Linked DNA regions of Drosophila melanogaster. The protein of the gene in region 3 interacts with the protein of the main gene of each other region in a pairwise test. Each region holds a gene or a part of one and is shown on either strand. Other genes may lie near its edges.

Region 1 (6,094 bases), on a different chromosome or scaffold from region 3:
AATTCGACTCACTTTCGCCAGACGAATCGAAGCGACGACTGTTGATATTGATCAAAATGATGGATCTGAATAAGGACGAATTTATTGACCGGCATGAGTTGAAAGCCTGGATATTAAGGTCCTTTAAGTGAGTGTTGTCTGTTGATTAATACTGCATCAATGTTAGCCAAGCCAATAATCACCTCAGCAACCTAATGCTTTGTCTAAATGCTTGCCTAAACTGAAAACGCATAGACTATTTGAAGCTTTTACTAAAATACATAATACAACTTGCAGAAAACTGTCGGAGGAAGAAGCCGCTGATCGATTTGAAGAAATAGACCAGGATGCGGACGAGAGAATTACGTGGAAGGAGTATCTCCAGGACACATACGCCATGGAGGATGAGGACTTCAAGAAGGAGACCATCGACTACGACAGCTACGAGGATGAGCAGAAGATGATCAAGCAGGACAAGGAGATGTTCAATGCGGCCGACACGAACAAGGATGGTGTGCTGACGCTGGAGGAATTCGTTTTATTCCAAAATCCCGAGGAGCATCCACAAATGTTGCCAATACTGCTGGAGCACACGATGCAGGACAAAGATGCGGATCACGATGGCAAGATCAACTTCCAGGAGTTTGTCGGCGACGCAGCCTCGCACCACGACAAGGAGTGGCTGATCACGGAGAAGGAGCGCTTCGACAAGGATCACGACTCCAATGGCGATGGCGTGCTGACGGGCGATGAGGTCTTATCCTGGATTGTGCCAAGCAATACGGCAATTGCCAACGACGAGGTGGACCATCTCTTTGTCTCCACCGATGAGGATCACGACGATCGCCTGTCCTACCTGGAAATACTCAACAACTACGATACCTTTGTGGGCAGTGAGGCCACCGACTACGGCGACCATTTACAAAACATTAACCATCTCTCCGACGAGCTCTAGATGCCATTCAAAGCCCCATCGTGCTATAGTGAACCTGTGCTTAGTATTGTATTTCGTTTAAATAGTTAGTAAATTTATGTTTATTTATGTAAATTCAAGTGACAATTGCAAATCAATATCGCCAAATTCTTTTGAGCACTTCTTACGAATTTAATTTTCAATACTATTTCGTTTGTTTCGTCATGTATCAATTACATTATGTGTAGTAATTTATATAAACAGAAACAAAAATCTACATAAAGCGTACTAAATAATTTTTACTAAATTACACTTTGCTTTATATGCAATTTATGACTAGACACATTTTCATTTTGTTACATTACAGTACTTAGGCCTTAATTGCTGTCTGCGAATTTACAAAATTAGTTTAGCAGCGTGTTCTTTTTGACTAGATTTCACACTCGTCTGTACCGAAAAATATGCTTAGCTCTAGATTATTTTGCGATTTTCTAGCAAGCACTTGAAGCCCCGAAAAACGTTTTTCTCATTTCTTATATCACAAATATTGCACCAAATTGGCCTATTTTCCCACATTTTCGCTACAAATGAAGACAAATCAAAAGGTCGGACGACTATTATCCACACAAATTCCGAATGCTTAAACTTAGCACGCTCTAAAGCTACTACGAGAAATGCACACGTCCCAGAGGAGCCACTGCATCGTCTGGTAGTCATTGGGCACTCCAATATGTGATGGCACTAAAATCATTCACGGGCCTCATACAAATCGTAATTCATAATGCACATCTCCAGCTGATTCACCTGGGGGCGAGGACGTACTCTATAAACTTAGCTTACGTTGACCGGACACGATCCGAGCTCTACAAATCACACAGTATATCGTAGTTGTCTACCTGACGCAGTGGCTTCTTCTCGTCGATCACCTCGCTCAGATAGTCGGCGATGGGCAGCGGCAGCTTCAGCTTCTCCAGCTGCGCAGCGCTTCGTACGCGGCGCATGATCACCGCCCGACAGCGATCCTGTAGGTTGACGAACTCCCTCCTGGTGCACTTTAGGGTCATCTCCGTTTTGGCGGCAGTAGAGCATACGATGGGGTACAGGGGCTCATCAATCTGTTGGGCAGTTAGGCGAGATTCTAGAGCCTGATCCTTGGAGGATTGAACAATTCAACCGGACTCACCTGATCCAATCCGCGGAAAGCAACGCCCAGGCACTTGCCATCCTTGTAGAAGGTGAGTGTGCCCTCAATGCCATCGAAGAGAACGCCAATTTGGGTGGGTTGATTCTCGCGGAACCGCTTCGTGTACAGCAGGGCCACGCCCTCGTGCCAGAGCACGCCCTTGTGGGACAGTCCCCAGCCGTGTTCGTTCTCGCCCAGCATGTTCCGGAAGGCGTTGGCATGTAGCCGTGCCGACTTGGTACCGATACCGAACATTATCGAGGTGCCAAAGACGCGCTGCGAGACATGAAGCTCCCAGTAATGCCGTCCGTTATTCAGGGATCTTTTGCCCTGGACACCGGCAGTGCCCTTGCTCCAGTTGGGATGGAAGTGCACGGTCCGCGAGTTGGGTCCTCTGAGCACCACTTCCTTGGAGCGGTGCCGCTTGCTCCACGTCCAGTTATCCTCAACGCCATTGGGCAGCGGACAGAAACGGGGTGGCGGCGATGTGGAAGATGATGCATCCAGTGAACCGGACGACAACCCTCCTGTTACTCCTCCTCGTCGACCGGTTGGACGACGTCTCCTCGGGGCAATTGCCGCTATGGGATGGGGGTGAGCCTGCTGTGGATCCACTTCAACATCAGACATTGTGTTGCGACTAGAAATTTTTTCGCTTCTCAATTTGTATCAATTTGACAAAGGGAACCCTTCGAACTGTTGGGAGGGGGGGGGGGGGTTAAGTTTTCAATAGGGTTGGCTTCCTGGGGTTGATGAGCTTCTCCAGGTCTCAAAAGTTGTTGAAATCGTTCAAGGAGCGGCTTCAGGGGTGGCGTCTTTAGCTCGTAGTTGTTTGTTCTTTCGTTTCTCTGGTGGTTAACTATGTTATACAATTTTTTTCAATACATCTTTATAGCATAGTTTTTATGAAGGGTTCTTCAGTTCTCCAGACGAACTCCAAGTGGATGATTCTTTATGCAAGGATGAGACCAAGAGGCGTTTATCTACAAGTAAGTGGTTAGTAGGGGCTGTTGGATATCCTCCTGCGGCAGGTCCTGCAGCTCCGCTTCCTCCTCCAGTGGAACGTCCTCAATAATATCCTGATCGAAGGACGCCTCCTCCTGCTCCTGCGATCCAACGCTGGTCAGTGAAGCGTAACCACTGCTCAGGGAACTGCTGCTCCAGCTGGCACTCAGTCGGACTGGACGATAGCTTCTCGTCGGTTGCAGTTGCTGCTGCTGCTGGCCAAGAGTCCGCTTTAGCTCCCGCTTGATTCGGCGAATCTGCCGGAAATCCTGCTCACCACCGGAACCCCTCTGCCTGTGCAGCTGCAGCTCCTGCAGATGGAAGTGATGGCGACAGTAGCCCTGCGGACTGTGAGCACAAAATCGACAGGCCTCGGAATTGAGGCCACCAACGAGCGGAAGGATTGGTTCGAGGATGCGACGCTTCTGGCTGCGCTTCTGTTGCTCCAGCTGCTGCTCCGCCAGGCGCTGTGGCGCCTTACGATCGCCCACCGTTTCGGCCACCTCCTGCAGCAGGCGCACGTTCCTCGGGAAGCATCGGTCGTGGACGTAGAGCACCAGGCGTTGGCAGTAGAGGCACAGCGATTGGAACAGCAGCAGCAGGACGATAATCATAAATATGTAGGGGTGGTGGTGTGTCCTCTTCCTTTTTTTTTTTTTTTTTTTTGGTGGGGCGGAAGACTGCTGCTTCTTGGGAGTCTCTGATTTTGGTGGTGCACTTCCCGTTGGCTTTGTGGTCTTGTTAGTTTATGCAAATTTCACGCTGCTTTCCAAACGAGAGCTCGCAATTTTCACTGTTTTTTTTTTCGAGGTACACACATTTTTTCCGTCTTGCTGCTCCTCCACACCTACAAAAAGCAGCTCCTCTTATCTGGCTGAAGTTACAACTCCCACCGACGACCGCCTCCGCTTGCGTCCAAGTCACACTGGCTTCTGGCACTTTTTTTCCAACTCACTTTTACGATTCCAACTTGAATCGCCCCACAAAGGCCTACCCTTATTTTCCACGACCTGCTTCCAACCACCAATTGGACTTTGTGCGCGTGTGTGTGTCTGCATATCATTATCATATGGCTCGGTCCACCCCACTTTATGCCCCGCAAACCGTCCACGGCGACCCCAATCGTCATCGCCACCCCCTTGACAGCTAACCAACCCCCTCCCCCACCGCAAATCCGCACAAAGAGAGGCAATGGCATGCGCACAAGTGCACGAGGTGAGTTCGCTCTCATCCTTGGCTTGGCATTGCTTTTTTAAGGGTTCTCCGCGACGGGGTTTCCACCACAATAGCCTACCCTTAGCCCTGGTCTTTTGAGGAAGATCTTATCACTCAATGTTAGGGGTAAAAAGTATGCAGTATTTGTCTTGCAGGAAGTTTATCACTGAAGGGCATACGATTTTTTATCCTCAACAATATTTGCTCTAAATAGGCTTGTATGAAATTGTGGTCGTAATTTGTATTTATAAATTTTAGTTTATTTTAAAACGATATGCGACAAGTTTTGTATAGCAGTTGAGGATTCGATTCGTTCGATATTCGTTCGATACCGCGTTTTGTTGCATTGTTTCGCATTTAATCGGTTTCAAAAATAAATGGAACATGCTGGCACATAGTTTATTTTATACTTTTGGACATACGACCGAGGCTAGTTTATTTATTTGTTTCATTTACTTAACATACGTAACGTAACTTAGAAGCAGTTTACATTTGTTTAGAACATTAATTGGCAGATAAAAAATGGCATTGTGGTCCAGGTCGGTCGGTAATTAGCACTTCGACTTGTGGATCCGTTTTTTTTTCTTTTTGGTTAGATTAAGGAATTTGTAGCAGTGTTGGTTCGTCGGTGTATGTATGTGTGTGTGTGTGTTGGTTTGTTTGTTTGTGTTTGTGTTGTGATCGTGTGGGTGTGCACACGATTCGTTGGTAATTTTAAGGCTTTACATTTAGATTAAACTTATGCTCTGTGCTGTGGGTGTGTCTGTGTTGGGATTGGAGGTCCTACGAGGAGTTCTTCATGCACACCTGGCACCTGGACACATGCGACTGCCGCTCGCCGGCCTTGATCGTCTGCTGCTGTGGCCTCTCGAACGGCTGTGAGGACTCCAGGTTGTACATCCAGAAGCTTGTCATCGTCTCATAGAAGTGGCACGTGCCCTTGGCGCCGTTGCACTCGATGAAGGGCGTTGCACGGAAGTCCTCCAAACAGGAGCCAGGCGATTGCAGCGCCTGTCCACCGCCACCGTTGCCCACGGCAGTGTGCTATTATAGGAAATGGTTGGGTTAATATTAGCATCATTATAAAAGAACTATTTAAAATCCCACAAGTAGTTAGGAATAAAGGTTGAAAATTAAAACTATTGTATCAAATCTTTCGCTACGCAGTATCCAACAGATGGCGCAAGAGTGTCGTTGGAACGTGCGCCATCTGCTGGAAAGCTAGGGAAACTTCGGAAACGCATCCCTTGTGGATTTTGAAAACTCTCATCATTCTTCTATAATCTAACGTTATAAGTGTTCCGATACTCACCATGAGGAAACTGTAGCCAATCCAGAGACCCTCCCAGCCATTCGGACAGTCGGGCACCTCTATCGTTTGACTGTGCACGGCGATCACATTAGCCGGCGCCTCACAAACGACGCAACGTGAGATGTACTGGCGGATCTCGATGTTTTCAACGGGCATCATCGGAATGGCGGCGTTGGTTGTCAGCCAGAAGGTCTTGTCATTTCTGGAGGCGTAGTTGCAGACGTTATTCTGACCACACGACAGTACGGGCAGCGTTGAGAAGCGTGGCACACAGGATCCGGGGGATCCAAGGTCCTGGTTGTGGGCATAGTCATTGCCATCGACGTACAACAGGGAGTAACCCGTCCACAGTTCCGTGTGTCCAGCCGAGCAAGCGGGCACCGTTTCCGATTGACTGTGTCGCGTAATCAGGATACCGGTGAGATAGTCCAGAGCAGCGGGGGCTGGAGCACCGGGCTCACCCTTCTGGCCGATCAAACCAATGGCG
Region 2 (6,266 bases), on a different chromosome or scaffold from region 3:
TTGCTCGGCCCCAAATTTAAGATCCTGCTTATCCTTCTCCGTTACGCTGGGAAGATCTACCGGAACTCCTGGCAAATTGATTCCCTTGTGGGAGCCCAGCTTGCCACCGTTCTCCACCTGACAGATCACTTCATCTCCCTTTGATTCCTTCACGATCAATGCAATCAATCCGTCGTCTACAAATACCCGATTTCCTGGTTTGACCAGTTGAGGTAGCCTCTGATAATCCACATAGATATTATCCTTGTTACTCTTGTCTGCCATCTCCTTCTTGGTGCTCAATGTCACTTTGTCTCCGGTCTTGAGCTCTATCTCAGCCCTATCATTGCCACCGGCCAGTTTGCCCGTCCGGATCTCTGGACCCTTGGTGTCCAGAGCAATTGCCAATGTTCTGGGCAGACCCGTTTGCTCCACGTACATGGCGATGGCCTTACGAGCCGCCTGTATTGTCTGGCAGTGATACTCGTGAGAGCCGTGAGAGAAGTTCATACGCACGACCCGCATCCCAGCCCGGATGAGCTCCAATAGCTTTTCTGGGCTGTTGGATGAGGGTCCAATGGTGCATATGATGCTGCTGAGGGGGATACTCAGGGCAGGTGCTTGGTACTGCAGTCGCGACTGGTAATCCAACTGGGAGGCGAATGGTCCGCGGTCCAGTCGGAACTTCGGTGGTTTCTGGAAAGAATTCATAAGCGGATGATTGACTCCCAACGTAACAACGTCCTACCTTCTCTTTCTTGCATTTGCTGGCATAGCAGCGATATCTTAGGTTTAACAGGCAAGTGGAACATATGGGCACTGTGGACCCTGGACTAAGGATTCTTGCGTATGGATGAATTTTGAATAAATTTTGATACACCGAAACAAAAATAAAATGTAGTGTTACCTGTCAAAAACGAATAAAATCAATTGCCTATAGGGAACTGGATGTGGATCTCGTACATGCAGACCTAATACCCAAAGGTTCCAAGTATAAGGAGAAAATGGCACATTACTTTCCATACGTACATAAATACAGTGATGACTTTATTATAATTTTCGAAGAAATCTCTATTATTCAACAATGGTATAGTATATTTGTGTGTCTGTTTGAGGCCCGGGCCGGCCTTCGGCGCTTCTGACAGCGGTTCCAGCAGCCTCCTGCAGTTTCCAATATTCCGAATATTGTGTAATTAATAAATTAACTTGGTTATTAACAGTAATCAACGCGACGCCCGCGGCAGCTGCGACGCATCCAGGTACTTCCTGAGCGGCAGAATTTATTCGACGGTGCTGAAATGATAGATAATTGCGTTAGTTTTGTTGATATAATTTTTGCACAGATACATATATATCTACATGCTAGAATTTAAACTTACACAATGCGGATGGTGTTGGTGAAGCCGGAGCCCTGCTTCCAGCCGGTAACCACCACGACGGAATCGCCGGTCTTGATGAAGCCGTTCTTCTTTCCGACCTGCAGACCGAACTGCACGCGCACGTCCACGTCCTTCAGCCAGTCACCAAGACCGGGCTCTGCAAGTACAAGCCAGAGTTATAATTTAAAGAACGACCTGGAGAAACAAAAACCTACCCTTGTAGATGAGTGGCACCAGTCCACGGTAGAGATGGGCCTGTCGGGCGGTCTGCGCGAAACGGGTGACCGCGATGATGGGGCAGCGTGGGCGGTACTTGCTCACCTGGAAGGCCGACTTGCCGCTGGTGGTGATCACCACGATGGCGGAGGCCTTGGCCTTGGTGGCAGCCTCAACGGCAGCGATGGCAGCCGCGTGAGAGGCATCGATGGTACCAGCGCCGCGAACCAAGTCGTTAAAGAGGTTCTGGTGCCAGAGGGCAGCCTCGGCCTCCTTGCAGGTCTTGGCCATGGTCAGGACGCACTCCAGCGGGTACTCGCCCTTGGCGGTCTCACCAGACAACATGACGCAATCAGCACCATCGAGCACAGCGTTGGCCACATCAGAGATCTCAGCGCGAGTGGGACGTGGCTTCTTCACCATTGACTCCAACATCTGAGTGGCGCAGATCACAGGCTTGCCAGCCTTGTTGCAGCGGGCAATCATGGCCTTCTGGGCGAGGAACACCTTCTCGGCGGGAATCTCAATACCCAGATCTCCACGGGCCACCATAATGCCATCACCGGCCTCGATGATCTCGTCCAGGTTGTGCATGCCCTGCTGGTTCTCGATCTTGGAAATGATCTTGATGTTCTTGCCCTTCTCGCCAAGAACCTTACGGATCTCGGTCAAAGCAGCGGCGTTGCGGATGAACGAAGCAAAGATCATGTCCACTTCCTGCTCCACACCGAACAGCAGATCGCTCTTATCCTTCTCGGAGACGGCAGGCAGATCGACGGGCACGCCTGGCAGGTTCACACCCTTGCGGGAACCCAGAGAGCCGCCGTTCTCCACCTCGCAGGTGAGGGAATCCTTGCCTACCTCGCGGACAATCAGTGAGATCAGACCGTCATCGACGAACACCCGGTTGCCGGGCTTCACCACATTGACAATGTTCTCGTAGTCCACGTACACAATCTCCAGAGAGCCCTTCTCCAGGAATTCCTTGTTGGTGGTCAGCTTGATCTTCTCGCCCTTCTTCAGCTCAATCTCGGCGGTGCCGCTGCCTCCGATCAGACCGGTACGGATCTCGGGCCCCTTGGTGTCCAGGGCAATGGCCACGGGGTGTTCGTAGCCCAGCTTGGCCGAGTAGTTCTTCACCGCCTGGCGCACATTGGCCACGGTGGCGGCATGGTACTCGTGCGATCCGTGAGAGAAGTTCATGCGCGCGATGTTCATGCCGGTGGCCATCATCTTCTCCAGCATCTCCACGCTGCTGGAGGCAGGTCCGATGGTGCACACGATTCCGGACAGACGCACATGGGGCACTGGCGAGTCGAACTGCAGACGGCACATGTGCTCCAGTTGGGTATCAGCTCCTGCGGCCATGTTTTGGGGTACTTCGTTGGGCTGCAAAATGAAAACTATACTTAATTCTGTTTGTTTTCATTTCTCTTCATATTTATAAACAGCGCGAATTGATTCTTTATTTTTAGAAATCAACACGCTGATTGCCAACTTTTGCAATAAAACAGGTTAAAGTCGTGTTTATTGATTTTAAGCATTTATTTCCAATTTACGCTAATAATCAGAAGTCTCTTCCTAGCAACAAGAAACCCTACGCGTTTTAAAAACTACCAAGTTCTAGCAAAAAATAAAAAAACCAACTAGTTTTATGATATTAAAATCATGCCCTGGTGAAGTCATGCAATGCGAAACACATTTAGGACCCCAACATAAACGTGGCGAATGCGTGCAAAACTCATGATAACCCTTCTTCATATCAACGAATATAAATCGATACAGTTTTTATCGACCAAATTAAATGTTTACCACCGGCTTATAAATAGAACCAAACGGGCCAAATACGGCGATTTAAGCCCAAATGCTCGCCGCACCAATCATTTTTCATGACCAAAAGGAATGATTGAAATATTTGTGAACTGACAGATAAAATAGAGCTATTTACATATAAAGGTAATGATTTTAAATAATCTAATAATCCTAATTAAAATGATAACGTTATATATTAACAGTATTTTATCATTCTGATGGTACTTAGTAGCATGTGTAAATAAGCCATTGATAAAACTTGACATATAAAATGTTATAATCGATTACCAATATTAAATGATGCTGTTGCGTTAAATACTATTTGTTAACTCTTACGATTGCTTAAATTATCAAAATATTTATTCGCACTGTGCATGTTATGTTTTGAAAAACGCAAAGCTGTCGCTGCAGAATTCGCTGATGTAAACAAAGTGCGTGTACTTGAAGTGCTTGAGTGGATGGGCGTGGGTGGTTAGGGGTGTCCCCCGTAGAGAGGACCTGAGAAAGGCAGAGCGGAAGAGAGAGTGGCAGAGAGAAAGCAGCAGGCGGAAGAAAAGTGTGCAGCGAAGCCGACACCGGCAGCGCTGCACATCTGCACCGCCGAAGGTCAGTTCTGCCGACCGCGACCGACAGAATTTTCTCAGCTGCAGTTGCATAATTGTCTTTTCCCACATTTTCCTCCCCAATGACTCTGATATCGGGCCAACTCGCCAGCCAACTGATTATGGCGATTATGAATATCTTTATGGACCAACTCTGGGGGCTTCCATTACCGTGACATTGGCCTACCTTCAGCTGCGGTGCCTCATCGTAGATGGTTACGTTCACCATTTTGTTGCCTACCGAACGGGTAGTATGTAACCAACGGGAATCGCACTTGGGATCGAGATCGGTCTGACGATATAGACGACTATATCTTCTTGCAACTGCACACGCAACTCCACGCACAACAACACACACAACGCAGCGGCTAGCCGAATGCAATATTTTGGCAATATATCTTCCAAGTTTGAGACGAAAATCGGGATATATGGAAAATCGGACGCGGCGAGGACGAGACAAAAAGTTCGACTGCCACACAGATTTTTTGGCAAGCGGAAATTTTCCTAGCCGCAGAAAAAGCGCTCAGAATGTCGGTAGCCCGACAGCAAAGAGAGCATAAACGCAGAGGAGAGAGAGTTTGGGCCCAAGAGGCAAGAGGCGGACGCAACAGGCCACCCCTAAAGAGACAACATTGGTGAGCGAGCAAGAAGGGTATATTCAAGGGTATGCTCGACCAGGGACTGCCAGCTGCTCAGTCGACCAAGTGGCCTTACCGCTATTCCCAATATAATTCCGAGTGAAATATAACCTTAATCTTACAATACTGCATATAAAAATTAATAAAGATATTATCAAATGGAAAAGATAGAGGCTCAAATTATCATTCGATATTTAAGTATAAGTAAAGTGTTTAGCAGGATCAAGATATGCTATTGTGCCAACATACCCTAACTCCCTTCGCGTAAGGGGATGCGAAAAGTTTATCCAAAAAGGAAGCTCCGAAGTTAACTGGCGCAAAGCTCCGTTGCTAGGCTGGCCGGCAATCGGATAGAACAGAAGGTTCAACGATCCATTACGATTATTAATTTTTGCATATAAATTTGCATTGTACAGAAGTATGTGTATATATGATTATATGGACACGTGATGTCAGTATGTGTGTGCGTGGTAAACAAAAAACCGATCATCAGCTGTTAGACGGCGCTTATCAGCTGGCAATACAGAAAAAAAGCAACGCGGAAAAGAGCCCACTGTCCAACTGTCCCACTTCCACCTAGAATTCCACTGTGCTGACCTTGACAACCTAATCTCCTCCACAGAAAACAGCTTCGTCTCGCTCGCACTGCCATTATGCAAGTGCGTGAGCATCTACTTTCCTTTTATCTTCCGCTCTCTCTTTCGCTCATCGTGAGTGACACGCGCAGAAACCGTGCAAGTAAAGCTCGCCGGCCTGCAGCTTTTGTCGCCGGAAAACGCACGAGAAAAGTTCTGAAAGTGAAAGTGCTTTTCCAGGCTTCAGTCAATATGTAATGAGTACTATGTGCCGTACTATTTAACCTTGAACTTGTGGATAAAGGACGTTAGCGCCGTTAACATTTTGAAGCTCGGGTCTGCAACAACAAATGCTTATCACTGAGACGCCGAAACAGCAACAAAATTTCAAATATAATTCAGACAATCCGGCACAGAGCAAATTTATGCAAAATTACTCATCATCGCTGAAAGCGTCGTCGTCACAGAGCAATTAAACAATTGCGATAGTGGAAGTTTACAGCGGTTCAAGATTATTATTGCTGCATTATTTCCGATGGCATGTTTAATAGGGTGTGATTGCGATGGTGTAGGTTATTTTACTTGTGGCGCGCTCCGCATGGAATGACTTCTATTTCACCTTTACACATTTCGCTAACGAGGTTCTTTTGAGATTGTATGGGTGTGCGAATTGAATTCGCAGCCGTGCTTGTGTGTATGTGTTTTGTGAGGCGGCAAACGCAATTCTACATAATGTGGAGAAATTGCTTGCATCATCAACAACAGCAAAAACAAATGTCTTGCCCCCGCCAATTTCGTTAGCAAAATTTCTAGCGTATTATAATGGAATGATGTTTAGCTTGAGGTCGTATCAAGAAGATCTGATAATTACCTGTTTTTGACAGTAAAGGTGAACTCGCGGAAAGATGTATTTGCTCTTCCTGTTTTGGAATTATTTTAATTCAATTTAAATGCACAGGCAGCGAACACTCCAATCAGAAACAGTGCGTCCGGCGATCTGTTCGAAAAAACAGTTGGCACCAATGAGCCTAAAAAAGCCACTCGTTTTTAAAATAAATACCATTT
Region 3 (5,511 bases):
GTTACGCATCTACCGTTGTTTCGGTTGTGCGTCTTCTGTTTGTTGTTAAAATTATGTGTACTTTTCGGTACCGTCAGCAGGAAGAAAAAAGATATAAACGCATGCAGTTGACGCGCTTTGACAACCGTTCACCGCGACAACAAAACTTGTATATTTCAAGATTTGGATCGGATCTGAATGCGAAACTTGCTGCCAGTGTGACCGCGCTGGGCTTCGAATTTGTAGCTAAAAAGTGCCAAAGGGCGCCTAATATAAGACGAGCTACAGTCGTAAATTTCGACAATAATAAAGTTTAAAGTGGTTCTTTAAAAATTATCGGGATGTAACTACAGTCTATTGGCGTAAACATTTAAGTTTTCGTTTTATTTGTAAAACAATAGTAAGTGTTAAGTTAATCTTGGTTCATGTCACTGCTAATCCAGTGTTTGCTAATGTCGTTCAGTCTGTAACTTTCCATAGCGGTAAACTTAAACTATGCAAACACGTAACAGTTTTTCAAACACTTATTTATTTTGGCACAACTGCAAAAGAGTAATACTCGTTTCCAACGAAAACAACTGGTTGTTCACTAAATGGCGCAACCTAATTGCACCATAAATAAGCATATCCAGTCGGTGCACAGAAAACAGCTGGCTTACCCAAAAAAAACACTCTGAATTCGCTATTTTAATCTCTCCGAGAACAGAACACACCTTTTCAACGCAAATGCCGGTCGACACTGAGTGGATTGTTACTCCACGAACCGAACATATACTCGACTAGGGCCGCTGGCATTCATTATCAGAACTGAATGCATGTGTATTTCGTTCAGAATGTACATACATAAGCTATATACCAACTGATATGGACACTGGATTTCGGATGGGGAAAGTCAAGCGTGTCGCTCCGATAACGAATCAGTATGTTTTGGACTCGGCTAACACAAGTTCAGAGCATTCTGAACGTTATTCCAGCCTAATCTGCTAATATCAATGGTGTTAATATTAGTTGGACATAGTACACTCCCCACTTTAAACCGAACGCATTTGTTTATATATCGCACTTCTATACTTTCCGATAATAGTGCTTGGTAACGGTGACTCCGATTAAACAAATGACATATAACAATGAGTGCGATTAAACAATATATGACGGAGTCACCATGAGTGAAACTAAATGTGTTTGAGGATTTTAAGTTATTTTTAGCTAAATAATGATGTTACATGCGTGTCCTATAAAAGCTTTCACGCTTATTAAGATTATTAAGATTATTGGACTTTACAATAATGCATATAATTTAAAAACCCCTTAGTTTTTGATCAAGTTTTAAGCTGTACAGGAAAAACTAGATTTCACCCTCTGAGTACTGCTTCTATTTTTATACACATTGTATGCAAAGCTTTTGTGGCATACGAACTTTTTGACTCACCAATATTAATGACAGTAGTTATCGGCCGATCTCCTGCTGCTTTAACGGAAACTCTATAAAATCGGGCATTTTGATAAGTAAGACTTTCATTAGCTTACCATTTATTGGAGCTCCATTGGCCTCCGGATGAGGTTTAATCGCGTTGTCAAACATTATCGTAGTGTTTTTTTGTTTGGTTATAAATTCGCTATTGGGGACACTTTTAAATAGCACAAAAGCTGTAGGGATTCCCAGGAAACGAATGTGGTAAATGTGGTTAACTACTAACTATTAAGTGGCAAATGTCCGAACAAGAAGATTGCACACTTAACTAAGCAAACCAAATGAAAATCAATGTCAATTTGTCAAGTTGTCCTCGTGGGAAAATCAATTAAATAACCAGCTGGCGAAATCCTTCACAAATTCCACATTGACTTACACAAGCTTTTTGGCCCGCCAATTGGTTAAGGTGAACTAAAGATTGAAATATTGTCTAAACAAGAAATATTACAATAGATGATCAATATTTCTAGTATTCATATTAGATTGTAATATTTTTTCCGCCATTGTTTATGGCACAACTTTGCACTTCCTTACGAATAATAGTTTACAACAATACTTGTAAAAATATGGATTTCTATAAGTCGAATTTTTAATAGAATTTCCAAGTTTATAGGGATCAAATGTAAAAGAAATTCTGGGAAACTACAATAGCAAGCAAGTTGGATACTGCGTATTTATTAGTAGAATTCTTCGCGCTCAGTAATGGATATCTAATAGTCGTGACACTCGACAATTTCTTTATTAATTTGAAAGTGCAGCTGTGTTTGATCCCTTTTCATAAATATTTGTACATTTTGACTTGGGGATAAACATAATAAAATAATTGCAAATGATCAAACAAATCGTATACAATTCAAGCTTACGATTTGAAGTCTTTAAAAGCTGAAACAACAATATATCAATGAAAAAACACCCAAATGCACCAGCACTCCATAATCAGTAATCAGTTTCAAGTTCAACCATGCAAATATGGCTGTTGGCCAACACACTCGATGATTCAATGCGAATTGAATTGATTAGCACAGGGGATCACGTTTCTGTATGACAACATATTCACATGGCGTTTATCATGTAACCGACTTCGACTGGATTTGGTTTTCGGTTTTCCGTCTCCAGTTTCACTTTCATTCCAGCATCTGGGCCGGCTAATTGTCAACGCAGTTGGCTAATAAGCGCGAGTGTAGATTAAATAACCACTATCCGGTACTTTGGTTTAAATCCAAGCAAATCTGCGCGCGATAACGCCCGAAAGCCAACTGATTTGAGTGGCGGAGCACTGCCAAGTGGCCACTGGCCGTTGACCACCGCCGCGTGTATCTGGAGGCGGAAAGCCGGACCGATGCACTCGACCACACTTCGGCTGGAGCGGCTTACAGTGAATCGGGTCGCTTAATTACACATGGACACTATGTGCTGGTCTAATTTGTATGCGTAGCCCGCCACTCGAAAAAAAAAAATTAGCCAGCAAACAAGTCGCTGTATTCAAAAGCGTATTGAACACGCACCGGGCACTCGGATTCGAATTCGAATTAGGATTGAATCTCGGATTCACCTGACGCCGCCGCGCTCGAAACACGTCTAAGCCCGGCTAAGCGCTCCAAGTTGGCCCGTACCCGCAGTCGTCGTCGCTTTTCCAGTTTCAGTTTTCTTCGCGTTCTTGATTATCTCGAATCTCGAATCTTAAATCTCAAATCTCGACTTTTGATTTGAATTTCTTAATGGGGGTCTTCGGCGCTAATCACAGGTCGCAGATGCACACGCATTCCCGGCCCAAAGTCACCAGATAATGGTGATGGATGCCAGCCACCTCTCTACTAATCCGAATGACGATACAGTCCGGCTTCTGTGCAACGAACACGCCGTTTAAAAGGCGTTTGTCACATTGCAAAAGAGTGGCACTAATTGGAAAAACTGGAACCACCAACTGCCAATTTACAAACTGGGCGCCTGCGAAAATCTGTTTTTCCTCAAATTAAATCCACATTTTTGATAGTTGCTCATGGCAACTTATTGGGTTCGTCAACTAGACTCGTTTTTTTTTATCATGAAGTAAAGTTGTAACAAATCTGTGCTACAGCAAAAAAAAAACTCTTATAAAAGTGTTACATTCTTTAAATGCTATTTAGAAGCAAAGTTAAGGGCACAAGATATAACTACTGACCAGAAATTATGACTGTAATGAAGGTAGTTTTAATTTGAGATTTGACATCAGTTCTATTTAGGCAGTGCAGCCTGTACCCGATGCCCTAGCCAATTAGGAATAGGGCGAGCCAGGCTAAAGATCGTCCCGTAAACAATAAACTATTTGCCTTTCAGGTGTTTGTTATTTCGAGCAGCTGTTTTGCGGCAGAAGCCAGCAAGTGAAGTGACGGCTAATAAATAACCGGTTATTGATAAGTATTCACTTGCATCGAATCACAGCGGACAGCTTCGCACCCTGACCATGAGATCCGGACAAAAACCTCAGTGCCAGACGTCGTCTGCTTGAGATCGAGAGCTGAGATCCATTAAACAGATCGCGTTTAGTCCAGTAAACCTGCCAATTGGCATATCAGTCCGGATTCTAATGCCGTAATTACCTGTTCTCGCCACTGAAATTAGCTGGTCGCTACCAGCTGGCGGTGGACTTTGGCTCGCTTTGCCCAACTTTACGGCCAGCAAACAATTGTAAAAGTGATTTCGAATGGTGCTCTTTGCACACAAAGCTGCCGCAATTGTAGTCACGCAATTGATGCGATTCCAAATAGTATTCCAACTTTTCAGTTGCCTCGCCAAGTCTCATTATGCCCAGCGGCGTACTTAGCGATTCCTTTTGTCATTCTAATGGCCGCTCGGCACTTTTTCGACAATGCCCGCAACCCATTTGCGTCGCATGTATGTGGGCTCTATGGAGATGGAAGCGTGGCCTTGACCCAGGTTCCGGGTCCGCGTGACGGCATCACCCATTAAACGAGGCAGCTAAAGATGCTGGCATTTGAGAAGTAAATATCTATGGGCTAAAGCCTTATCTTTGTGTCAGAAAGTAACTAAGATTGAAATTAATCATTCTATCAACCAATTCGAAGGTATCATAATGTTTCAATTACGTTTGAAACCCATAATTGACTTAAGATTGGCTTTAATAACCAGATATGTAGAATGACTTGAAGTAATTGCTCCGAATCAATTTCAATCACAATCATGATTACATATCGAGGTATTCAATCAATCCATTCTAAGATTCATTGAACGATCGTATGCAATCCACATCTTCGCTCAGTTTTTCGAGCTCCAACCGGGAGTACGTTACTTACCTTAGATTGGCTTCAAAACCCAGAAATATATTGATTGTTCCCATTCAATTTCAATTCAATTCAACCAATCCATTGTAAGCATTCATATGGAACCATTAGCTAGTTGAACTCTTATGCACCCGTGAGATACAGTAGCCTATCTTTAGGCTTGCGCTGTGGAACTCAAGTGTTCAAGTGAGATAGAAAAAAACGCAGAGCAGTGTCCACAATTATTAGTGTATAATTTATTATTAAATATGTTATAAAATTTGTTTATCGTATAAAATATACTCTTACTCTTGTCTCGTCAAGTCCACACCTATGTACGCTTGTATATATATATATATATATATTCGGGTATATAAATATGTATGTGTATGCATGTATATAGAAAAGTGCCAGACCACGCAGCCACCAGGTGGTGGCGCACCCGTGGTCCGCGCTTGTTTCTGACCTCCTCCTCGCTTTCCACTACTACACAATTACAATTTTAAACTGCAACTCGTTATTGAATCCGTCGCTTGATTTGGTAGATTTCCTAGACTTCGATTTATCGCCTTACTCGGACTTAATAGCTGCTTACTGGTGGGTGTACCTAGTACCCGCACGCCCCTACATATGAATGTATGTACGCTGATGCTGAATGCTGAATACTGCTGAATGCAGATTGCAGATTGCAGAATGCAGAATGCTGAGTGGGTGAAAATGCTTGAGATGCTTTTTGGGTGTGCCAAACGCGATCTCGCCTATCTATCGAGAGCAAATCAAACTAGATGAGATTTAGATTAG
Region 4 (3,799 bases), on a different chromosome or scaffold from region 3:
GCGAGTGTGAACTTACAAATGTCAATCATTTGTGACATAAAAAAATATAATTATAATGAAAATGGAGAAATATATTTGCTTATTCCTAAGAGAAAATGGTAGAATATTTATAATTTATATATTTAATAACATAATTTCTAATTCTAATCATCTTCATTCAAATTCCTCTTCTTTCAGCATTCAATAATACGATTTCACATATATCAATAAATATATTCTTTTCTTAAAATAATATACTAAAAAATAATATTTTAAGATAACATTTCAATACTGTTAAATATTTAATTTACTATTCTTTGTTGCCACCTAAGTCAACATTTATAGTCTCATTAGTAATGTTGAAAGGTCTTTGATGATGGTACTGTTTTTCTTTTTTATCTGGCAACTCTTTTACAATCCCATACACTTTCCCATGCAACTTGTTTGCTGCCAACATGTTGTTCGGCGATACTAAAAACTAAAACTATGCAACATCTACAAATCTGGCCAACAATAAACATTCTCATGTACCTATTAGATAGATGGCAATTACCTAAAACCGAAGCCAAATTGGCGACAGACGTACTTTCAAGCCGTTTTCAGCTGCCAAATAATTCAAATACATGCAGGGGGAAAAAAACGGGAAATTGTCGCCAGGTCTGCCAAATAGCCAAGAAATGCAAGCCAACTGCCAAACAATGTTGGGCCCCCGCAAAGTGGCTTGGAAACTGCCTCGATTAGGCAGCCGGCCACCTTTAAGGCTAATTGAGGGCCAACCACGTAGACTTGGGAACTATGCACGGGAAAACAGAGATACACAATGAAATAGGTGAAAATTACCACGAAAGACAATTGGAAATCACTTAAAGCCAAAACGCTTGCGAAGGCAAGATGTCAAGGTTGGCATAGGGCTATAATGAATTACGATCACAACAAGTTTTATACAAATCACTATGAATGGTTTATTACAAATTCGAGCACTACAATTTTAATGAAATTTCAATATGAAAATTCCTGAAAATAGATCTAGAGCTTCCATCCCGTTTTCGTGTTTGAAGGAGATGACCGTTTACGCATATTTCTATTTTCCACGGATACATTATTTTCAGCTATAATCTTCGTGGGTTTCGCTATATTAATGTGCTTGGTCTCATCTTTGGCTGGTTTTCCCTGATCTGTTAGAGCAAATCGCACCCTATTTTTTACTACGGAATCTTCTCGAGGTTCGGCGTCTGGAATCACAGGCTCCGGTTTATTTTCTTCTCGTACTAGCGCTTTAGTTTCACTAATTTTGTCGAATTCTGGGGGGAAAGGATCAAAGATTTCTTTAAATTCTGAAAGTTTGTCATCATTTGCGTTGGACTCTGGTTCATCCAAGTAATTAATATTACTCCTAATATCATCAGAAATCGCTAGCGGCGGCTTGGGTATTACGGTCGAATTTAGGGCTTCTTGCAGCATGGCCATATCCTTGGTTACAAACTTAACACGTTTTCTCAGTGACTCAATCTCCGACATAGGCACCTAGAACAAAACCCTATTAAGCCCCTTCTACTGTACGTTTTCCCCCCCCTTTAACTTACATCGTTCCATTTGTGTTTGAATCTTTTAAATACAAGTAAGAGGAGTACGATAAGGACAATCGTAAGAATCACCAGGTAAGTTGGTGATCTTTCCAATACCAGAAGTTTCAACAAATCAATGCCTTTAAGAGTAAACCAACAAGCCGATGGCCAAGAATTGCAATACGGCGATATCTTTACCGATGTTTCCAAATCAACTTTCTGACGATAGTTCCACATTTTGGGCCTGACTTTTTGTTAGTTTCTATCTGTAATTTAGGTTGTATTAAAACGGATAACCAACCGGTGATGTTATCACTTTTATAATGTGATTTGAAAAGTATTTTCTTTGCTTGCTAGACTGAATTCAAATGACAACATTTAAAATGTTCCTATGTGGAAAAATATTCGTTCTTTTAAAGAAAATAATTGTAGAATTCCACTCATTCCCTTTCCTTTTTCAGATAAAAATCTTTAACCTCTTCCCACAATTTTCCCTAATTGTTCTCGGTTCTTTAATGCATTTTCCCCCACCATTTCCCAGTGCAGCTTTTTTGAATGCCAAGTGCAGAGAGTGGGAAAAACATGTTCCCAGCAGCGGAGCAAAAACAAAGGCATTTGCATGACAAATTCAAGTCGGCCCAAGTTGTAGTTGCTTCGAAAAGAGTAGAAGCCATGGGAAGAACATCAAGGTCCGGAAAGTTGACAGAGCAACCACAATTTATAGCCTGCGTGGGGTTAACTGATTTGCACACGCCTTAAATGCAGACGATTTTAATTACTTTATCCGATTTCGTGCATAATTTTCGAAGAAATGTTTATGAAAAAAATTTGTTTAATAATTGAAATGCTAATCGATATTGATCGATGCTCTAGTAATGATCTAACTATTACAGCCTTAGTTTAATGATCAAAATGATCAAAAGTATATAACAGTACATAACGATACGAGATAAATGTGTCAGAATCGATAACATCAGCAGACTGAGTTTTATTTTGGGTCAAATTTTGTTCGCGACTTGACAAAAGTGCCGGCCTAAATTCTGAAGAGTTAACAATTGCGGCAAGTTAAACCTGTTTCTGGAACCCTCTCACTTCACTTCCTCCGATCGGATGAGCGAAAAAATAAATTCCAACAGCATGACAACCCCATCGAGTCAGCCAACTTGTAAGCCACATCAAGAGGGAAGGAGTTGGCTAAATTGAGGGGAGACAAGAAAAGACCCGCATCTTCTACCTTCAACCTTTTCGCTCGGTCCCCGAGAAAAGTTCACAAAAGCGGCCAAACTACTTTTGGCTCAAGAAGATGGCAGCAGGAAGCACGGTCGCCAGTTGACAAGCAGAACTGCCAAAGGAAGTTATATAAATTGCAGCAGATTCCATCTTGGAGCTCTCTCATTGTACTAACATAAATCTCATGCTGTTAATCTGATATATTTATTTTACTTTCGTTTTGGTTTCAGTTGCAATTAAGTCCCAGAAAAGAGAGCAATTTTTTTTTCGGTTGTAACTTTTATGACAGCCTCCCCCGCCGGCAATAATCATAAATTTTAGTTTTTGGGGGTGGCAGCGTTAGGAAAGCTCTTGAAAATTGCCCAATTGAACATCTATGTAGTTGTACAACAATTGAAACAGGCGAATAAGATGGGAAAAACTGATAACTAATTTAGGCAGAAGAAAAACAAGCAATTGAGCAAACCAGCTAATGGAAAATTGGGAAAAAAACCAAAGGCAACTTATAGCTGAAATTAACAATCTTAGATAAGCGAAGTCATGGAAACGCTTGTGAAAACATCAAATGTGATGAGGACAAATACTGAATTAAAAACTATATATATATATTTTTTAAGGAGCAGTGCACCAATAATTTTTTTAATTAAGATAAATTATAAATATTTTTATTTACAAATCAAAAAACCAAAACCAAAATGGAGCAAGAATGGGGGTTATGATTTATATGAAGCTCTACATGAAACCCCGAAAGAAATTATATTCAAGGGTGCTTACTGTCTCATGGATCCCCAACGACGCTGGGATAAACTATCAGGATTGCTGTAAGAAAAATTTTTATCAATTGGGATATCTAATAATAGTCTTATTCGGTTCAGTTTTAACCGCAATAGAAACATAGCAATATAGCAATCTTTCTAATCATCTTATTTTCTTTTATATAAGTTCATATATAGAATGAAATTTACGCCTAATTTTCCAAATATTTATATAGGCAGTTATTTAGAATTATTTAAAATTGCCAATAT

What was found.
Region 1: the proteins of Aldh-III (region 3) and CG14042 interact in a two-hybrid assay, tested with the Drosophila melanogaster proteins (one large-scale study listed by BioGRID).
Region 2: the proteins of Aldh-III (region 3) and PyK interact in a two-hybrid assay, tested with the Drosophila melanogaster proteins (one large-scale study listed by BioGRID).
Region 4: the proteins of Aldh-III (region 3) and saturn interact in a two-hybrid assay, tested with the Drosophila melanogaster proteins (one large-scale study listed by BioGRID).

What each region holds. Positions count from the first base shown.
Region 1 is NT_033779.5:5,035,722-5,041,815, reverse strand, and holds CG14042 (uncharacterized protein), read right to left. Parts: upstream 4,108-6,094; 5' UTR 3,695-4,107; coding exon 3,059-3,694; 3' UTR 2,706-3,058; coding exon of another isoform or gene 2,076-2,705; intron 2,008-2,075; coding exon of another isoform or gene 1,756-2,007; 3' UTR 1,697-1,755; coding exon of another isoform or gene 1,640-1,696; 3' UTR 998-1,639; downstream 1-997. Other genes in the region: CG31650 (uncharacterized protein), read left to right, coding at 1-127, 277-934; SP555, read right to left, coding at 1,640-1,696, 1,789-2,007, 2,076-2,705; Col4a1 (collagen type IV alpha 1), read right to left, coding at 5,079-5,339, 5,608-6,094.
Region 2 is NT_033777.3:22,367,475-22,373,740, reverse strand, and holds PyK (pyruvate kinase), read right to left. Parts: upstream 4,460-6,266; 5' UTR 4,218-4,459; coding exon 4,176-4,217; intron 2,964-4,175; coding exon 1,574-2,963; intron 1,516-1,573; coding exon 1,359-1,515; intron 1,273-1,358; coding exon 1,260-1,272; 3' UTR 995-1,259; downstream 1-994. Other genes in the region: CG7069 (uncharacterized protein), read right to left, coding at 1-504. UniProt on the Drosophila melanogaster protein: Enzyme of the glycolytic pathway. Glycolysis is essential in glial cells but not in neurons; neurons rely on the citric acid cycle for their energy needs, and on lactate and alanine secreted into the hemolymph by glial cells to fuel it.
Region 3 is NT_033778.4:7,473,934-7,479,444, forward strand, and holds the start of Aldh-III (aldehyde dehydrogenase type III), read right to left. Parts: upstream 3,230-5,511; 5' UTR 2,314-3,229; intron 1,627-2,313; 5' UTR 1,562-1,626; coding exon 1,507-1,561; intron 1,448-1,506; coding exon 1,409-1,447; intron 727-1,408; exon of another isoform or gene 639-726; intron 198-638; exon of another isoform or gene 1-197.
Region 4 is NT_037436.4:14,201,416-14,205,214, reverse strand, and holds saturn (saturn), read right to left. Parts: upstream 1,893-3,799; 5' UTR 1,782-1,892; coding exon 1,563-1,781; intron 1,504-1,562; coding exon 1,006-1,503; 3' UTR 921-1,005; downstream 1-920.